4 linked regions of the Drosophila melanogaster genome follow. The protein of the gene in region 4 interacts with the protein of the main gene of each other region in a pairwise test. Each region holds a gene or a part of one and is shown on either strand. Other genes may lie near its edges.

Region 1 (6,351 bases), on a different chromosome or scaffold from region 4:
CCTGGCTATTGAGATGCGGCTGCACGAAGCTGTAGGGCGCCATGGAGAGGCTCTCGGGGAAGTGTACATAGTCCTTCCGCTTGCACACCTGTCCAGTTGGCAGCCACACCGTCCGCGCCACATGGATGCACAGGCAGGCCGGTAGTTTAGCGAACGTAACCGATTTGGTGTGCGTGGTGGTCTCGTTGCAGGAGTCACACTTGACATCGCTCAGATCCTCCGATGTGATATACTCGCTAAGCAAGTGGCCCAAACTCAAGCCAGTTCTGCGTTGCGGCGGCAGATTTAGCGTTATGCTGTCGAACTTATCGTACCGAACGGCCGACTTGGAGCCGCAGCCATTGCACACGATCTGTGCGCCCATGGCGCCCTGAAACGGATGCGCCACTTGGCTGGGCATCATGTTGGACCAGATGGACACCCGACCTGGTCCGCGATGCAGGCGCTCTAGCGATCGACAGGAGCTGGACACCCGGCGATTCAGACCCTCATCCTGCTGCTGTTGGGATTGTGGAAGTCGCGGTCGCGACGAACGCTCGCCGCCCAACATAGGCGTAGCCAAGGAATCCGGATTGCTGACGAGCGGAAAGCCAAAGGGTGTCCCTGGCGAAACGGCATCCAGAAGCACGGATCCCAGGCGATCGTTTCCGTCGCGTTCGCAAACAGAGGCAGGCGAATCCGGTGTGTGGGCCTCGGAACGCACCAATCGCTGCAAACTGGTGCTCTCATCATACTCCATGTTTAAGAAATCAGTGAGCATGGCACTGGAGGGCCGGTTCGGTTGATCCCCGATCCTCTGGCTGGCTCCCAGTCCCGCTGCCATGGAGCTAAATGATCGAAAGCCCCCTACTGGCGTTGCTGTGCCTGCCAAGCTGCTGTTATCATCGTTATCCGTGGGCAGAGCATCCGACAGACAGCCGAGGGGCTGTGGTCGTATGGCCTCCTCCTCCAGGCAGGTCAATAGCACGTGGAACAGCTCGTGGGCGTCGTGCTCCTCCTGTGGAATCACCCAGCCCAGGGCATTCAGAGCCCGGAGAACGGCTCCCGGTGAATAGGGATCGCCGCGCAGAGTGGCATGGGTGCCATTGACCACTTCCAGAGTGTTTAACATCGACGTAATTAAGCTTTTTCGATCCGGCGAGGCGTTGTTGTACAATTGCAGCCAGGCAATGAACTGGGGACAGGCGGCCATCGCCTGTAGCAGGGTGTTTAGGAAGCAGGTCAGTCCAAAGTTGTGGAGACCGGCAATTTGGCCGCGTCGTTGACGCAAACGGGAACCTGCAAATGTTTCGCTGGAGTAGGGAACTACGCCATGGAAGATCTACTACTCACCCGAAGGACCCCAGAAAACGAAGGCTCCGACTACGGCGGCTACCGTCACTCCGGCGGCCATTAGAATCTTCTCGCTCTCCATGGCTTGAGATTTCCGATGGCTGGTTTTCCGGTGCAGATCACTGCGGTACCGGGAACTCCCAATCCCGCCGCCAAAATCGCACACAGACTAACTCTAGTTAGGAATTTAGACCGAAAAAATTTTTGTGTCTCTTGATGTGTTGCAAAGCGATTCAGTTGTTAACACCACAACGTGCGGCCATTACGCAACACTGGCGCGCAATTATCGTTAAATTTGCAGAGAAAATCAAGTATTTTAAAATTCAACCGAATCGTTGTACATGTGAATGTTTCTACTATAAGCATTAAACAAACATAAGTTTGACAGCTTAAATTTGTAAACGTAGAATATATTTCCCATACTATTGTATCGTCTATCGATAGCGACGATTTGATCAACTTTCGATAGGCACCTCGAACAGCTGTGTGGAAAGGGGATTGTAATAAAGGAAAACAAAGTAGGCACAACAACCAAAGTTTTCAATCGAAACGGAAACATTCGGATATCAGTCGTCGTTCTTAATAGTTCAGATTAGAATAAAAATCCTCCTGGAGGAGCATAATTGAGTGAAAATTAACTGCAAAATTTGTCTGTGATTGTGGAAAGTGAATCAGCTGTTTGGGAAAAGTAAAACGGAATACTCTGGAACCTTCTCGTCGTTTCTTCCTATTGTAAGTATTCGGATTGGCTTTCATCTTGTTTTAATGCAGCCACTTTGCATCGTCCTTGTGTCTATTTCCCAATTTTCCAATTTTCCCCAGCTGACTTGCTGCGCAATAGGAAAAGCAACAACAACGAAACATAAATACATACACACACATACACACACTCGCATGGACCTAATCGCTTCTGTTTTTGTTGCTACTTTATTGCGCCGTTTGTTTATGTCGTCTATTCGCTGCGTGGCCGTTGTGCAATTTGCTCCCATTTTCCACATTTAATTTTGGAATCTGTGCCACGCAGCTTGCCAAATTACATATTCTAGAAAATTTGAGAATTTTCGAAAGTGTTACATTTTATTTCCATTCAAATCTTTTGCGCCTTCTCTCCTTGTCGCACATTCATACATGCAAGCAGACGCGCACTTGTTTGCTCATTTGTGTGTGTGTGCGAGTCACGTTTAACGGGTTCCTTCCGTGTGTTTGTTTACAGTGGGTATTGGCTAATACCTATTTCGAAAATAACAATTGAAACACTATTTTTGGTTGAGAAATATGCGCACACAGCAACAGGTTATTGAAAATTGGTTATGTGTTGCAATTATAAACCTAAAAATATTTTCCTGCCAACTCTTCTATATGAAAATCGATACTAATATGAGAAACCGCATCAAGGAATATGGAAGAGTAACTTGTATCTTGCGATCACTGTATCTAAGACCCCCTTTCTTTCCCAGGCGAACTGACCCCGAGCGGAGCTTTAGCGACGACCTCGAACAAAGAACAAAGAAAGCCCGAGTGCAGTTGCCAATTGCCTTGTAATAATCACCAAGCCATATATACAACTGGCTCTAACCGGTGGTAACCAAATTCGCATTTGGTCGAAACCAGTTGCTGCAGCTGCCTAACGTCGCACTTCCGCCCGTGAGGAGACAACAAAGGACTGGAATTTGAATATGGATGCCCAGGAGAATAGGAGTGAACAGTCGGGACAATCGGGCGACCACGAAGAGCACGAGGAGCGCCGGATCCGTACGGACAGCGAGAGTTCCGTGGAAAGCATGACGCGTTTCGTGCTGCCCAGCTTGGATGGTACTCCGCCGAAAATTGTGACCCTGGACGAAGTGTCCAGCATGTTCAAGAATTTGCGCAACATGGAGCTGGCCCACGAGATAGCCCTCAATCCGGACTTCAAGCTGCAGAAGTACGAGCCGCCCTCGGATAGGTGAGCATGTGCCAGCAGCAGCCCTGTCAGGGAAACCATTCAATTAACATTCCCATGTCCACAGTTTGGAGGGCGCCATCAAGAAGATGGTGCACAAGGCCTTTTGGGATCTGCTGCGTGTGCAGCTGGACCGCCAGCCGCCATCGTATGATCAGGCCATCCGGCTGCTGGCTGAGATCAAGGAGTGCTTCCCGCAGCTGCTGTCGCCCAACAACGAACGTGCCCTGGCCCACATCAACGAGGTGCTGGATGACTCCGTCATCCGCCAGCAAGCGGAGCGGGGTACCCTGGACTTTCGAGCATATGCCAACTTTGTGATCAACATCCTGTCGCGATCCTGTTCGCCAGCTAGGGACGAAGCAGTGGCCGCTCTGCGCAAGATCGACGATGTGGTGGACACGTTTCGCTGCATTCTCGAGCTGATGACGCTGATGAAGCTGGATATGGCCAACTTTATGCTTCGACTGGCGCGCACCGAAATCGCTGCCAATTCGGTGCAGTATGAGAAGGAGAAGTTTAGCAAGTACTTGCGCGAGTTCCATGGAAATGGTGGGTTGTTGGCCAAAAAAAAAACTACAATGCCTTTATTTATTGGGAATGCCATTATTTCCAGTTGGTTTTCCGGCCACTGAGGATTGGCTGCAGCGTCACCGGTCCGGTAGCAGCGATGATGAGACCATTTACAATGCCTACATGCAGCTGATTGACTATCCGGCCGACAAGGAGTTCCCGGAGCTGTTGCGCATCGACAAAGAGCGCTTCGCCGGCCTAAGTTGGCGAGCCCAGCGCTTGATCCTGTGCGCCTCGCTCATCTCGGTGGCCCAGGGCATGCCTATCATATCGCAGCGCCGCGAGAACCGCATCAAGCTGGCCCAGCAGCTGGACATCATTGTGCAGGACATCAAGAACCAGGAGTGAGATACCTCGTGCTCTAGCCGAGCGCTGTTTTAACCCTTCTTCAACCTCAATTCACAGCCAAGTGGCCTCTACCATTGAGAGCTGCTACGAGCAGATTCGCTCCTTTGTGAACAAGGCCCTGGAGCAGGAGAACTTGCCTGCGCTGAGTGATGCCGACCAGGCGGCGCTCAAGAACCAGGTGCTTAAGCTGGCCAACAAGACGTCGCCGGTGCCCAGTTTGATGGGTGAGTTTACTCGTTTATGCAATACAATGTATTTTATATTCAATTCACGTAAATCGCTTGCAGCCAAACGATTGGATGGCTATGTGCGCGTAACACTGCGCTCCAATGGCAGCATTCCGCCGCCGCCCTCAGGATTCGCGGACTACCAAGAGGAGCTGGTTGCATTTATCGCCTCGTTCCGTCGTCTGGTGTCCTACAACCACGCCGTGTTCGGGGAGCACTTCCACCAGATACTCAACAAAACGCTGCCCGGTGAGGAAACGGAGGCTACCACTTCCACGGCCAGTGGCATAAATCCTGGCCAGGCTCAGACTGCCAAGCCTTAGGTGGATTTGTCTACCGTCTTAGGCAACACAAGATACCAGTATACAACACTCAGACACACCTGTAGGCGAACAACAGATCTGGCGGAGATCTGCATGATGTTAGGGCAACCGGAGTGGCGGATAGCATCTTCCGTGTGGAGGAGGAGGGATTCCGCATTCCGCAGCTGCTTTCCCATGTGACGTGACACTTGCGTAGAAAATTTGACGCACGCACCCGTAACCACCAAGTAGAAATGAGTACTCCAGATGCAAATCCCCCTGCAAAAAAGCCAGTGGGATCCGAGGCATCTGAAAGGAATCAAAAATGTGCTGGAGCGTCTGTGATAACAAGAATATTCAACACAAAATTCAAATTTTTGGGGGTTAAGAAAAGTGAACTCGTGAATTATGTGTGCTCCTCAATTTTCGTAATGTAAACCCCCTCTTTATAGTACATACATATATATATATATTATGATTATACACGTGTACCCTAACCCCGGACTAATCCTATATCTTAGACCTTTGTGACCGTAACTCCCATTGAATTTATTTTGATTGTTTCGATTGATTAGCAGTGTTTCGACTGAATCTTCACGAATATATCTATACCTAGTTTACCGAAATTCAAAGTAAATGAATTCAAGTGATTTCATCTTTTTGGTGCGGAAGGGAAAGGTACATCATCTAATTTGTGTGATGTGATTGGATTTTAATTTTGCGAATTAACGAGAAATTATTTAAAATATGCGACATCGCTATGAATTTGAATCTAAGAGGTTGCCAGATCGGGGTAAAATGTAGAAAGTCCGCCAGATGGCGGCACAGCATGAAATAGTTCGCTAGATGGCGTCTTGCTAACGGATTTCTATTTCGTACCAGATTCGAATTACATTTCCATTATTTAAGATTTAATTAATGATTTGGTTACCCACTGATTCCAATATAATAAATTCAGTGAAATAGGTTAAATTTTAAATATCTAACAACTGGCCTTGTCGACATTAAAGCCCATGACCTCGCCTCGCATTCATTTGCAATTTTAGTTTCGTTTTCGGTTTACATTTTCACCGATTTGCCTTCGCAATGGATTACAGTATAATTCGCTTAGCTGCATCGATAGTTAGCTGCATCGGCAAGATATCTGCATTATTTTTCCATTTTTTTGTGTGAATAGAAAATAGAAAATAGAAAAAAAAAAATTAAGTTAGCTGCATTTTTAAGTTACCTGCATCGAGGCATTGTGCAAAGTACTCGAGGCAGCTAAGCGAATTATACTGTATTTGGACTATCTATGCGCAGCAAGTGCAAAAAAGGGAATTTATGTATAAGGTATTTTACTTTGATCACAAAAATTGGAGATGGCATCGTTTCGAATTCGAGTCAACATTTTCGGGGCTAAGCCAAACGAAATCCCCATCAAAAGTGTAGCTATAATCATTACTACAGTATAATTCGCTTAGCTGCATCGATAGTTAGCTGCATCGGCAAGATATCTGCATTATTTTTCCATTTTTTTGTGTGAATAGAAAATAGAAAATAGAAAAAAAAAAATTAAGTTAGCTGCATTTTTAAGTTACCTGCATCGAGGCATTGTGCAAAGTACTCGAGGCAGCTAAGCGAATTA
Region 2 (4,478 bases), on a different chromosome or scaffold from region 4:
AAATAAGAGCGATCCCATCTACTCCCGATGCAGCAGCACGAAAATGGCCAAAATAGAGAGAATGGCCCACTGAAAAGTTGCAAATTCGGGCTTAGTGGCGAAAAAAAAACACAAACGTCCTTCAACTTACCTTAACCTTGGGATATTCGTTCATGAAGATCGTGATGATGCCCACGTAAGGCAGGAAGCCCCTGGCCCGGCCCACAATGTCCTTTTTGGTCAGCCACAGCTGGTTGGGTGCATACAGGCCCCGGTCGTCCACGTTGTTATTGTCGCCCTTGGTCAGGAACTTGACGGATCCGTCCTCTCTGCAGAAAAGATTGATTGGGATTATATGGGACCAAACCAAACCAAAAGGAAATCATACAGAATACAATAAAAAGGAATCTTGGCCCGTGACTAAATATAAAACAACAATGTTTTAAGACAACGAAACACAAGCTTAACTTAATGACGTGTCCTAAAACTACAAATTGTATCTAAAATAAAAAATGATCTATTCCATACGGCATGTGAGCTATTTTCAATCCCTTTTAGAAAATATGTAATTCCTTTTTGCCTTCACTGCTGTAGGAAAACTTTTACTAGCCACTGTGTTCCATGCACCTTCTCATAAACGAGCTTAAGGGAGGTCCACAAATTTACATAACATTTCATGTGCACAAGGATTTCAAATAGTTAAAAAAATAGCATTACACAAAAGTGGCACTAATTTAGTTCCTTCCCCTGGCGATTAGAAACTATGATGCTCATTCCACCTAACCGATCAGAGATGTTAAAATGCCTACTTGAACAGCAAGCACCCAGTACGACATCATGCCCCATTCATCTTAAAGACGCTTTCTGGGATTGGTTTCCATATCCGTAGCCCCAGGAAACTCACTTTTCGTGCAGCTTGATGACGCGGTGTACAATGGGTATGTCCCTGCCCTCCACCTTGAAGACGACGATCTCGCCGACGCGCACCGGCTCCTCCTTGTAGTTAGTGAGGAAGAGGAGGTCGCCGCGGTGGAAAGCCGGCTCCATGCTGCCACTGAGCACGACAACGATCGGCGACTCGCTGCCGGTGACCACCATCAGGCCCTTCCAGATCATCAGCGCCGAGGAGACGATCATGGCGAAGCTCAGCACCTGGTACAGCGACTGCGGGAGGGAAAGGGCACGAATCAGGATGATATATGGGTGCATTGCCCGGAGAAGCGGCGCTGCTCACCTGACGCTTGTTCATTCTGTTGAAGTCGCCCAGCATCTCGTCAATCTGCAACATGCTGGCTACGCCCATGGCTGCGGCTGTTATTGCGGTGCTTGTGGAGGAAATAGCCTTTTTAAATGCAATTGAAAAGGTCCTTAACAAAACTTCTCGGCTTCGTCCACGAAGACAGAAAATTTCCGACACGTATGTTTAGGCCGAGTTGCCAGACGGTGTGTGACGGGTGCGTGATGATCTTTGTGCAACTATTGTTCGGTCACACTATTGTTTCCCAAAAACTCCCGCCTTTTGTGACTTTTTTTTTTTTTGGGTATAAACATTATTTAATTCCCGGCGTTGGTTCAAGTTAGTCTTTTATTCTGGTCTTCGTGTTTACCTTATAAATGTTTCAGAAGTTCTAAGATTAAAGGTCACTCTGTACTATAAATCACCATTTTTATTCCTATAACTTACCAATTGCGCACATTAGAGGCATCTTAACCTTTATTAATACATAGTAATATTATATAATATATATCGTAGTGGCAAAAATTCGAATTAATAGCGTTCGTAATAGTTCTTAAATATATTCCTGAGTTAACGGTAAAAATTAAAGAGTATCCCATACGCTACAGTGCTGCCACACCAAGCAATCGATAAGCGAGCTGCCACCACAATTTGACAGTAACGTTTTCCGCAATTGGTGTGACCGCAAGCGAAAACGTGAAGTGAGCGCCATCGGTGGTGTTTTCTCGCGAAATATAATATCAACTAAGCGGAGAAAGATGGGCGACAAGTTGCTGGATCCGACGCAGATCATCAATGGGCTGGCTGTGATGCTGTCCTTTTTCGTGGGCTACCGATACGCCCTGAAGCGAGGCGATGCCAAGGACTCCGTCACCGAGGGAGCGGCGACCCCGTTCTCGCAGGAATCTTCGGTGTCTAGCGGTTCCGAGGCTTCAGTTTCGGATAAGGTGAGAAGGAAAGCCCTCGGTAGGCATTCAATGGCCCCAATCCACCTAGTACTCTGAACTTGTTGTAGACCCAAATGCATCATTGAACGCATACACTTGGGGTCACAATAATAGCAGTGCCATTTTTTGTTGTACGGTAGAAGTTTTCAAAAGTCCTACTTTACATAGTTTAAAGTATGATTTTTTAACATAAGTATATAGCACATACACATTATAATAATATAATACCAACGCTAATTTTCTAAACATTGCAGGGCTATGGAGGCTTGAACGACAACTTTAAGATGGTCCTGGTGGTGCGCAACGATCTCAAGATGGGCAAGGGCAAAATTGCCGCCCAGTGTGGCCACGGAGCGGTGGGTGCTTACCAGCGGGCGGTGGTCAGGACGCCTCGACTACTGCGGTCGTGGGAGAACTGCGGTTGCGCCAAGATAGCCGTTCGCGTGGAGAGCGAGGCGGAGCTGATGGCCATCAAGAAGGAGGCCGAGAGACAGCAACTGAACACGTGTCTCATCCGCGACGCCGGTCGCACACAAATAGAGGCCAACTCCAAGACTGTGCTGGCCGTGGGTCCAGCGGCTGCCGCCGACATCGACCGGGTTACCGGCCACCTGAAATTGCTGTAAGATCCGCACTTCGGAAACTCTCACAGGCCATTGGCATTACTAATTCACTCAAGTGCAACCCGACAATTCACAAAGCAATACGGCGCACCGGTGGAGCGGTTGAAAGATTAAGGCCACCGGGTGGAGGACGACTGTGACATGCAAGCTAAGCTAAGATTTACGTTATTACATTAACTGTGAACCGAGCTATTAAACATTAAACGATTGACAGTCCGGCCTGGAACTGCAAAGCTCCGAAGCGTTTTTGTAGGGGTTCAAGTGGTAAAATCCTAGCTCAAGTAATTAAGTCCCTGTAGAGTATTTCCTTTTTCCAAAACTATTGTGTTTTGGTAAATCCTTTACTAACATATATTTGAAAAATGAAATGTGTCTACTCATTAAGATTATATCTAGCTTCCCACAGTATTTGGTCTATTTCTTTTCAGAAAATATCAGGGTCTTTTGAAAAGTAATGGTGACACTTGTTTGTTTCTAGGCATTATTTAAAGTTATGAAAATTATATTTTAAAAACATATTTTGAATTAGATTTCATAAATTGTAAAGTGTATAATTAAAAACATATTGGCATGAAAAGGAAATATTTTTTCAGAGAACATATTGTAGTATTTCAAAATCCGTTAAAACAATGCATTGTAAAAAGTGTATAAAATTGTTTCACAGCGAAGCTCAATCCTATTATTAAATCGACGTTTTATTTTCTAACAACTAACAATTATTCCCTATCACTAAAAAGTCCAGGCATAATCATTGTCTCCCTGCGGCGTCTGTTGCTGCTGCAGTTGCTCTGATTGCATTGGTGGCATCACTTGGTGCTGCAACTGCTCCATTTCCTGCACTTGTTGGAAGTCCAGTTGCGGTGGTTGCTGGTAGTCGAGAGTCGTGGGCTCGTTGGACGAATCCACCATGTATATCTGCGACTGCGATGCTGCCTGTCCCATCTGCTGGTGCTGCAAGGCGTAATCCCCGTCGTCGAAGACCTCCTTTTTGATACGCACTCGAGAACCATCGTCTTCCTCGTCACTCTCCGAAATATCCAGATCATCATCGATGCCCATTCCGTTGTTCATGGTATTGACAGGCATTTCCGGCGCCATTTGCATGGCCATTGAAGCGTCCATTCCTAAGTCTGCACCGGAAGCGGCACTTGTGCTGGCTTCGGCGGGATTGTAAGGCCCATTATCATCCTGCTCGTGCGATAGGAAGTTGGTGAAAGCACCCTGCAAGCTGCTGGGCTCGCCGAGGCTCTGGCGCTGCTTGTGCATGGCGAGGAAATCTGAGGGATCGTAGTTGGGGTCCACATCCATGGATTCATCTGAAATGTTTTTGAAAACACGCATTAGAAAGAGCGTACTCAAAGTCCTAATCATATATGGGATTAAAGGTGTGGGGACATGGACATCGAGGGCACAACACAAACACGAAGTAAGGATAATAAAGACCTTGCTGCTGTTGAGCATAGTAGCCGCCCACGCCACTCAACTGCACCATTGCTTCGGCCACCTGCTGGCTGTCATCCTCGCCGATCGGCTCCTCTGCTTAGGTGATTTGGGTAAAATCAGAAACAGAAAAAATCCAAACAGTCAGCGAATTAAAGTGTTTTCTAGATTAGTATTAATCCTCAAAGCGCGTGCCAAGAACCGTATTAAACATAAAGAAGTGACAATTTTTAATGGAATTTAATTGTGAAT
Region 3 (4,203 bases), on a different chromosome or scaffold from region 4:
GCCTCGGTCAAGAAGAACATTCGCGTCATCTTCATCAAGTCGCCGGAGAACCGTGGCTACGAGAATGCCGTTTTGGCCCTGGCTAAACAGGCGGCCCAGCAGCAGACTGCCATATATGTGCTGCACAAACAGACTGATATCAACGAGCTGGCCCAGAAATTCAATGCCGTGCGCCAGAATGCCAACAAGAAGCCCGAGGTGCACTTCGTCAAGTACAGGACACCTGAGGATGCTGCCAATGCCCAGCGGGCAATCCAATCGCAGTACGATCAACTCGGCGGCTCCAGCCAGTCCATCAACGGTGGCGTGGCTAATGCCATCAACTTTGCATCCCAGGGAGCTGCTCCAGCACGCGTTACTCCTCAACAGGTGCCCCAGAGCAACTACCTACCCGCCAACATCCTGAGTCGCCTGCGTCACTAGAAAATCGATTGTTAAACGTTGTTTTCGAATAAAAGTTATCTAATTTGGTTATGTAAATTATTGTATTTTCATTTGGTTAATTCCTTTAAAAATTGACGAAAGCAACATAAGTATGCAACAGTTTTCAAAATAAATTGTATACCTATTTATAGCAGCGATAATCGAATAAAAACAGAAAGAAAGAAGAAAGAAGAAATAAAAATACTTGTTCAAAACCCAAGATCTCAGCAGCCATAAACTGGTATTAAATTTTGAATATGGTTAAAGTATAAACTAGTTCCTAAGAAATATATAAGTGCTTCTACTTATGTGCGCTTTCAAAGTTTGCAAGAAAATATTTCGCTGCAAATAAATCCGAACTTGCGAAGTTTCGTTCCCAATGAACTCAGCCTGCAAAGTTTTTTGGTTTTTACAAATGCACTACAACAAGTCAAATTGGTTTTAAAATTTAAGAATTGAATTTATTTAAGCATTAGTCAACAAAAACTACGATTTAATATCAGTCAAAAATCGCTGGCGTTTTCGATTCCGAAAGGAGTGAAACGAGCGACTTAGACGCGACGGAAGACCGAAGATGGCAGGTAGGAGTTGTCGGGGCTCTGGGCGGCGGCCTGACGCACTGGAGCGGCGGAAGCGAAGTTCAGGACGGGGGCAACACCACCGTTGTGGGCCTGGCTGGATCCTCCCAGCTGGTCGTACTGACCCTGGATGGCGCGCTGGGCGTTGGCAGCGTCCTCGGGAGTGCGGTACTTGACGAAGTGCACCTCGGGCTTGTTGTTGTTGTTGCTGCGGATGGCGTTCAGCTTGTTGGCCAGATCTCCAATATCGGCCTGCTTGTTCAGGACATAGATGGCGGTCTCCTGCTGGGCAGCCTGCTTGGCGAGGGCCAGGGCGGCGTTCTCCAGGCCACGGTTCTCGGGTCCCTTGATGAAGACAACGCGCAGGGCCTTGTTCAGGGCAGAGGACACACGCTCCAGCTGCTGGGGCTCATCGAAGTCCTGCTCGTTGGCGGTGAAGGTGAAGAACTCCTTCTCCAGCTCGGCGGTTGGGGCAGGGGCGTTGTAGGAGACGGGGGCACTGAGGGCGTCACCACCACCAATGCTTCCGATGCTGCCAATGCTTCCACCACCAATGCTGCTCAGACCACCCAGACCGGCACCGCTTCCGATGCTGGCTCCAATGGAACCACCACCAATGGATCCTCCGATGCTGCCGCCTCCGATGCTGCCGCCTCCGATGCTGCCGCCTCCGATGCTGCCTCCTCCGATGCTGCCTCCTCCGATGGAGCCACCTCCAATGCTGCCACTTCCAGGAGCAAAGGACAGTCCGGAGCTGGAGTGTCCCACGGGCTGGTAGTTGTAGCCGAGCTTATCGGCGCAGGCGACTGCCACCAAGCACATAACCTGGAGATAAAGAAAACAGCATTGTAATCCTTGGTATCCTTTTGGAGTATTTCGTCGGCGATCGAACGTATACTTACAATGAAGGCACGCATTTTGAATTTAGTTCTTTGACTTTGACCACTTGGTTGTGTCTGACGTTTGCATCACCGAAAGGTCCAATATTTATACGAAAACCAACGATCGGTGTCACTAAACTGCGCTCAAGTTCATGCAGACTTTACCATCGTTGTATTTGTTGGCTCCGCAGCATTTTTTGGTAACTTCTTCGGCAGCTTTTGTCTCTTGAAATGCTATCCACCTTCGAAAAACGAAGCTTGTGCGATAAAACAATGGCCAAGCCGACGTGAACAAAGCGCATCGATACCTGGCCGCCCTATTCTTGCAAATGTTGGCGTCGACATTATGCTAATTCCACGATCCCTCAGTCCAAGTCGTAGTACCATCATCGAAAATTTTTAGGCACACGACCCTACCCGTCAAGTTGTAATCCAATAGAGCAGGCTCTCGGCGGAGGAAACGGCTGAAAACTCGTTTAGCAAAAGCCACTACTATAAATGGTCATGCTTTCAGTAAATGAAATGATTTTCTTCATATTTTGTATGCTAAAACATTTAGCGGAGCATCCAAACGAGTTCGAAAACGACTCGGTTTTTCTACACTTTTTAGTTGATCCAGCCGCATATTTCTAGCTGGGAATCCCCAGCGATTATTGCGTCCCCCTTTGGTATTTGGAATATTGTATATGGTATATGGTATGGTATGGTGTATGGTGTATGGTGTATGGAACTGGCTGCTCTAGGGTTTGGCCATATAAAACCCGAACACTGGACTGTGGACTGTGGTAGGGTTGAAAAACAATGGATCTGAAATGGATAGAAATCAATTTTCGCCAGCCTTTTTGCGCATCCATTCATTCATCCGTCCATCTATCCGACGGCCCATCTGTCCATTTGTCCGGAGCTCGTCGCTTGGCCATTTAACCTGTGGCAAAAACACGGCTTCGCAAAATAGAAGCCATAAAGCTAACAACCGTTGCGACCTTGAGGTTTTTTACTGTTGACCAGCACCCGAAGCTATTCGGAATTCGGCGGTAATCAGCTGGCGCCAGGCGACCATTTAATCTGATCAGCGATTATCACGTTTTTCATCATGGTTTATTGATATCATAAAAATTATGGTTTTTTATTTTATTTCGGCAAAGTTTTCGAGCAGAAGGGGGGTAGAGGCAGCAGCAAATCCGCTGAAAACTGATTTGATTTGCATAATTTAGGAGAAATACCCAAGATCCATATTTAAGATAGCCGAACCGATTTGCAAATCAATAGTGGCGAATGCCAATCGCGGTTATGACTAATATATATATTGATTGATATCACGGATAACTATAGCGATGAGTAACTCGAAGATGGGGTCAGTTAGGAAATCCGCTAAGACATCACAACCATGATATCATTTTCAGTGACGGACACACACAAGTTCTATATGGTTCTATATCTAATGATGCTATATGATGCCCCCCATTCCACGCTGGCCGGGATCCAATTAAGATTCACATTCGAAGCAATAACCTAAAGTCAAAAACAATTTGTCTTGGCTTTGTGTGCGGCCCCACCTTTTGCCCACTGCCAACTGTTGCGGCTCGCCGATTGGCCAGCATCTCAGCCAAGTTAGTCGCTGGTGGCAATGTCATATGCAAACTAATCAAATGTAAGCATAATAAAACAACCCAGCCACAATTTCAAGGTCTCGGGCGCCACACGCACATAAAAGATGCACGCAGCAGCGACATAAAAAGTGGTCAAAACGCGGGAAAAGAGTTTCCAGCACGAAATCGAAGATAATAGCGGTCGGACGACGTTGGCGTATCAATAAATAAATAAAAAAAAAACGGCTCAAGCGGACAAAAAACATCTACGGGAGGGAATTTCTGGCACCACTTTATGTAAATGGCCTTTTGGGTCAATCGATCTATTTACAAAATCTGACACTGTTTATTATTTTATCCATTATTTTTAGTCTTTCTCTCTTCGAGACAACAAGACTGCCCCTATATTATTTTATTGCCATTGTACTGGCACCCACCAGAATGTCGAAACGAATAAAATTGTGCATTTAATTTATTCGGCTATCACCTGGCTGGTGTCAAAACCGGGCGGTGCCTTTCAGGTGCAAAAATCCAATCAAATCTGTCGCCTCACCATAAATTGGAGCATTAGTAATTTCCTTAAATCATAAGCTTTATTTACGAACGACAAATTTGCCAGTTAAACCCCAGTTAAACGAGTTTGTTTGCTTCTAGCCTTTCTTTTGCAAAAATGTTTGGAGCTGCCGGCTTTTCGAACTCTTTTACGAGCAGACCGTTTCTATTCTTCTCTAG
Region 4 (5,685 bases):
CCACCATGATCACCTATAAAACTCTCCTACGACATGGTTACTCAACGTATTTAGCTTTCCGCCACCATGAAGCATTGGAAACGACGCTCTTCCGCTGTTTTCGCGATCGTCCTGCAAGTGCTGGTACTCCTGCTACCCGATCCTGCAGTTGCCATGACGATGGAGCAGTTCTTGACCTCGCTAGACATGATCCGCAGTGGCTGTGCGCCGAAGTTTAAGCTCAAAACAGAAGATCTCGATCGGCTTCGCGTGGGTGATTTCAACTTTCCGCCATCGCAGGATCTTATGGTGAATGCCGCTTTCATTTTGCAGGCACCAGTGTTTGAATCCTTTATCCTTTTAGTGCTACACAAAGTGTGTGTCTTTGATGGCGGGCACTGTGAACAAAAAGGGGGAGTTCAACGCTCCCAAGGCGCTGGCCCAACTTCCGCATCTGGTTCCCCCGGAAATGATGGAGATGTCCAGGAAATCCGTTGAAGCTTGTCGGGATACGCGTAACTACACCCACACTTACCTTTCATAGCTGTAAATATATGTAAGGTATATCTTTGCAGATAAACAATTTAAGGAATCTTGCGAGAGGGTCTACCAGACGGCCAAGTGCTTCTCTGAAAACGCCGATGGGCAGTTCATGTGGCCTTAAAAATGTTTCTGGAAACTAAATTCATACTGGTTCATCCTTTAATGACCAATCCTTGGATGATTGCTTTATTATCTATGTTGAAATCATCAAATAGAATTGGAATTCGTAAAACATAAATTATGACAAGAAAGGAAGTTAGCTTCAAAAAGCCGAAGTATATACTTATATACCCTTGCAGTAATATGATGTTGATTAAATTGAAACCAAAATTTATATATTAAAGACAACTTATGTATACAGAATAACATCAATTTATGATTAAAAACGACGAAACTGTAGTTTGTGTTATATTATTTCATTCGAAACTCTATTTTCCGACTATTCGTATGCCTATATGACAAAGTCGTCCAATTCTGATTGAATCAAAACTGAAATTATATATTGTCAAAGTAACAAAGAACATTTTGTTTAAATTAATTTTTCGATTATGTATATACCCGCAATCGACTGAATTCGATAAGCAAATCTTTTTTTTTGAAAACAATCTTTAATCATATATTTGAAAACCTTTTTGTAGATTAAAATGGCACCCCAAAATATAAACACGCCGCATTGATTTCAAACATGTTATAGTTTATTGCTGATATTATTAACTAAATACAACGGTTTTATGTTTGCATAACGCATACTTATACATTTTGTAATCGATAAACATCCAATTGGCTTAGCAATGCATTCAAACTTAGGGAGATCTTTGCATTCAAGAGGTTACAAAATAAATGCAAATCTTATACAAAATGGTTGCCTTGCAAATCTGCGTACAAAGTTCTCTGTAATCGAGAGTAATCGATATCTTAAATTTCGGTTTCGGTATAGGAGTAGTGTCTTTATATATGTATGTAGATCTCTCCAAAAAGGGTCTCACAAAAATATATCCGATTAGAGCGTGTGTGCGGATTAGTTGATGAATTTGATGAGGATGTTCGAGGAAACCTGTGTAAACAACTAAGAGTCTAATGACATTCACACGTATATATAGTAGTTAGTACATTGTATATAAAATCAGTACACATTAATGCTTGTATATTGAACCGTTTGTTGTTAGCTGCTTTGGTTTGGTTTGGAAATACTTTTAACTGCTACACACACACATCTAAATAGGTTGGTGGTTCCGTAGACAACTATAGTCATACACATACACATATAGTTAGGTATATAATTTGATATATCGTAGTTATAATTAGGTGGAGATTCGGGGCAAACCCTCGTCGATTCCACTGGGATTGTGTAATGCCGTTGATTGTGTTGTGCGTGGGGACCAAATAATGTCTGAGAGCTGGAGAGTGTATACAAATGTCGTATATAGGGGTTTTCTCCTTTCATAACTAGCCTAGAAGAGTTGCTTGTGCTTCGAGTTGAGTTTTCGTTAACATTACGATCTGGGATCACATTTGGGTATATCAAACAATATAGTAGAGAGCTAAAGCTTTTCCATCAGCCCTGTTCTATGCGATTTTAAGATTCCTTTGCAGGGCTTACACCATAAACTTGGTGGTCTTCAAGGGGAAGACGTAGAATTTGGTTTGTGCCTAAGACGTTTGAGCGAAGAAAATGCTTCTGGACAGGATCCATTAAGGTGGTAAGATGACAGTAGACGATTGCTGAGTAAGAGTTCATTGTTCAGGAAGGGGTTGGTGGTAATTTTGATTATGTTTTCCCATTGCATGGACAACCATTGTCCATTATAGCTAGCTTAGTCCATCAGTCGAACGCCGGCTTGAACGTCATCGGCCATGCTGACTCCCTTCTTTTTCTTGCCTTCGCCGGCGGGCTTCTTCTTGGTCAGGACTAGGGTTTCCGGCTCATTCTGCGACTGCTGACGCTTGCCATTTCCGCTGGCTCCGCCACCACCACCTCCGCCGCCTCCCCCTCCGCCGCTGTTGCTTCTCAGCTTGAAACGCGTCGTGGCCGCCGCCGCATTGTTGTTGGCGCAATTGCATATGGCATCGAAGATCCGCACCACGAATCCTCGAGCGCGATTCACCACCTTGCCGTTCTTAAAATCTGGTATGGCGAAACCTGAGAGGTTAGTGCATGCGAGGCGCAGAGAGTACAAAAATACGGAAATAAAGATCAGTGATACGCAAAATACAAGTTAAGTGCAACAAAATATGGTCATGCAATCGAGCTGGCTGGGTTTTTTGGAAAATGGGTGAAAATGGCGTGCGAATGCGTTTATATATTCTAAATTATATGCTTTCCTCAGTTTTAATTGCCATCTGTTAACAACCGTGGAGGAGGCCCACAACGGTCGCCCTGTCATCAGTTAGTTAGGTCAGCCCACTTTTATCAAACAAGTTACAACATTACGCGACAGTTCTCTTAATTTCAGCACGAAGATTATACTTTCCTAAATATTTGCAATATTTGAGATTTAGACCTCATCCACCAACTTTTAGCCTAGGCACTCTTAGGTGTCAAGCGAGTTCATTGCCACGAAAGTCATCGATACAAAAATACTTAAGCAAGACTAAGAAAAGGATTTGTGCACAAGTGTCTATTCAGCGGCCAGCACTTGGCAAGGGTTTGCGCTGAAGTGCTCGAAAGGGAAAAGCAATACACTATCCAAATAGCTAAGAAGTGAAATGTACTGAACCACACTGCGTATACTTACTCGGTCGTTTTTCCTTGCCCTGCAAGGGAAGTTACAAGTTAGTTCAGTTAGCTCGAAAACGAATATTAGATATGTGTGGTCAACCTGTTGCGATTTCTGGCTCTCAACTGCCCGCCTGTTCGCCTCCGTCTCAGCCCGCAGGAGCACATCGTCGAGCGCCTCCCGCAACGCGGCCATGTTCTGGGGATTTTGCTTGAAGGCCTCAATCCGCGCCTCCAGTGACTCCGTTTCGATTCCATCAACGCTGTCCGGAGACGCTGGCTCGGGATCCGCAAATCTGGCATGCATCTTTCCTGGGTTTTTGTGAGAATTCCTTTTTATCCTTTGAAAATGCTGCCAGAAGCGTTTCGAGCTTTGCCTTTGTCCTGCGATGGGTATCTACAAGGAGTGCTGAGCAGAGCTCTTTGTGCGTTCACCCAGCAATGCGCTGGAGAAATCAATAGCAAGCCACTTGGGGGCCCATACCCGCACATGCGTGCTGACTGCGTGGGCAAGCTTTCGATTTGTGGGGTGGGAGAGCAGTCAGTTGATTTCAACAGTTCGTTATTTACAGAACTGTAGCTTAATATTTCTATGGGAAATCCTTAAATAATGTTTTTTTTTTTGCTTGCTAAGAAGAACTAAATCCATTTTACACAAAACGTGTGAAAATAATGATTTAATATTCTTCCTATTTGTGTGGTTACATTTTTTTGGGGTAGGAACCCGCATTTTTTATTTTATTGCATACAATATGACAAAATGTGGACTACGAACTAAGCTGGCTACTCCAGGTGCGAGAGATCGTCCAGCTCGGGCGGTGCGCGCACAATCTCCGTCTCAATGATCAGCGAGTTGGCGTCTAGGATGCTCTGAAAGATTGAACTGTTATACCATCAACTGCTGGCGCTTCGCTACCGGCAATAACACACACATTATCGCTGCTCCGCTGTGCAGCCGCTAGTAGACTGCCGCTCGAGCTTGAGTTCGAATTGGAGGCACTGGCAGCGTTGGAGGCCGCGGAGAGGACCACGCTGTGCGGAGAGCTGCCACGCCGCACCACCTTCGCCTGGCCCTGCTGCGGCGAGTTCTGGGTGACTATCACAAACTTTTGCGCCGGCTGGTTGGCCTGAATGGCTCTTATTTGCGGCAGGGACGAGACTCCGGGACTTCTAAAACAAAAGAATATTTAACCGCTTAGTAATGGGCATAAAAAGACATGTCAACATGGTTTCCATTAGGAATCAAATGCTTGGCTGGAATTTTATTTTATGCTTAAAAGTGTTATTTACCCCTGTCTCTGTGTGGTGGGCATGGACACTCGTCCGATGGTTGTTGCTGTTTGTGCTGCACTCGTGATGGGTGCCGTGTTGATAGTGTTGGATGACAGGGTTACAATGCTTGAGGCGGGCGCATTTCGAACTTTGACTACTGCCTGGCACAGCGACGGCCCCAGGAAGCCAAAGTCGTTCTTGTAGTCCTCCGCTGTATCTGGCGCTGAGCGCATTTGCCTGAGAATCGGGGGACAGCACTTCTGAAGCATGGCGCGGATGTGACCTGCTGCTGTCTTGTCAGTGTTGCTGATGGAGGTGCCGAGCAGGTGAGGTTCAATGCGCTCCGATATGAACTTAAGGCGGGGTATGATGAAAACCTTTATGACTTCGCCCCCCAGCTCCGAGAGACCCGCAATAGAGCCGTAAAGCGAGGACAGGTGGGTCTTGTCGTTCTGCAGGGCCTTGCTGAAGATGCTGAAGGTTGGGAAATGGATGTTAAAAGGTTATTTAATTTAAGTGGATGTGATTTACCGGGTGACACGGGTTTGCAGATTGTTGGTTAGGGTATTGAAGTTCTTGCAGATTTGAGCCATCAGTCGGGAGGCAAAGTCTCGCAGGGCCCAGTGATTGTCCAGCTCGGGGCGCATACACAGCTGTTTGGACACAATGCACGTCATCACCGAGGGTATCAGTTCGTGGAGCTATGCGGAGACAACATCGTTTTTATGAGAAACAAAGAACAATACAATAAGAAATTTCTTACGTATTTCTCCAGAAACAGCGAAGGATTATCCAGAAGCGCACGAACCATGCGCATGAGGTAAATAAGCAACGCCAAGTTGTTCTGAACCACATTGACCTTAACTCCCTCGGCAATGAAGGTGCACATGCGGGGAAGCATTTCGTGCAGGCCAGGATCGGATCCCAGCGACTGCAGCGCTTCCCCGCGCCGCGGCTCATCAGATCCCACGCACGCCTCGGTGATCTCCTTGTAGTACAACTGCTGCTCCACGGACAACTCGTGCGTGGCCAGTTGCTTGACATGAATGGTCTCCACGTTTTTCAGCTTGTGTATCTTGCCGGTGGTGGGTTTGCCTGCCGCATCTTTGTTTAGGCCTTGATCCATCTTAATAACTGGATTGACCGAGTCCAGTAACTGGGAATCCTTCGAGAGC

What was found.
Region 1: the proteins of CG9368 (region 4) and CG16721 interact in a two-hybrid assay, tested with the Drosophila melanogaster proteins (one large-scale study listed by BioGRID).
Region 2: the proteins of CG9368 (region 4) and CG1307 interact in a two-hybrid assay, tested with the Drosophila melanogaster proteins (one large-scale study listed by BioGRID).
Region 3: the proteins of CG9368 (region 4) and TwdlM interact in a two-hybrid assay, tested with the Drosophila melanogaster proteins (one large-scale study listed by BioGRID).

What each region holds. Positions count from the first base shown.
Region 1 is NC_004354.4:5,878,045-5,884,395, forward strand, and holds CG16721 (uncharacterized protein), read left to right. Parts: upstream 1-1,824; 5' UTR 1,825-2,064; intron 2,065-2,489; exon of another isoform or gene 2,490-2,625; intron 2,626-2,774; exon of another isoform or gene 2,775-2,789; 5' UTR 2,790-3,008; coding exon 3,009-3,277; intron 3,278-3,341; coding exon 3,342-3,826; intron 3,827-3,890; coding exon 3,891-4,191; intron 4,192-4,252; coding exon 4,253-4,419; intron 4,420-4,435; exon of another isoform or gene 4,436-4,482; coding exon 4,483-4,745; 3' UTR 4,746-5,347; downstream 5,348-6,351. Other genes in the region: Usp30 (ubiquitin specific protease 30), read right to left, coding at 2-1,278, 1,333-1,414.
Region 2 is NT_033777.3:6,654,833-6,659,310, reverse strand, and holds CG1307 (uncharacterized protein), read left to right. Parts: upstream 1-1,868; 5' UTR 1,869-1,974; coding exon 1,975-2,163; intron 2,164-2,417; coding exon 2,418-2,789; 3' UTR 2,790-3,281; downstream 3,282-4,478. Other genes in the region: twr (twisted bristles roughened eye), read right to left, coding at 19-69, 131-308, 884-1,143, 1,214-1,282; Taf1 (TBP-associated factor 1), read right to left, coding at 3,516-4,102, 4,230-4,322. UniProt on the Drosophila melanogaster protein: The natural substrate for this enzyme may be peptidyl-tRNAs which drop off the ribosome during protein synthesis.
Region 3 is NT_033777.3:26,616,882-26,621,084, reverse strand, and holds TwdlM (TweedleM), read right to left. Parts: upstream 1,968-4,203; 5' UTR 1,919-1,967; coding exon 1,904-1,918; intron 1,827-1,903; coding exon 975-1,826; 3' UTR 861-974; downstream 1-860. Other genes in the region: TwdlP (TweedleP), read left to right, coding at 1-423.
Region 4 is NT_037436.4:19,599,633-19,605,317, reverse strand, and holds CG9368 (uncharacterized protein), read right to left. Parts: upstream 3,686-5,685; 5' UTR 3,546-3,685; coding exon 3,342-3,545; intron 3,277-3,341; coding exon 3,258-3,276; coding exon of another isoform or gene 3,217-3,257; exon of another isoform or gene 2,663-3,216; coding exon 2,337-2,662; 3' UTR 1,198-2,336; downstream 1-1,197. Other genes in the region: lush, read left to right, coding at 67-288, 344-494, 555-643; Taf6 (TBP-associated factor 6), read right to left, coding at 4,099-4,408, 4,529-4,984, 5,042-5,211, 5,274-5,685.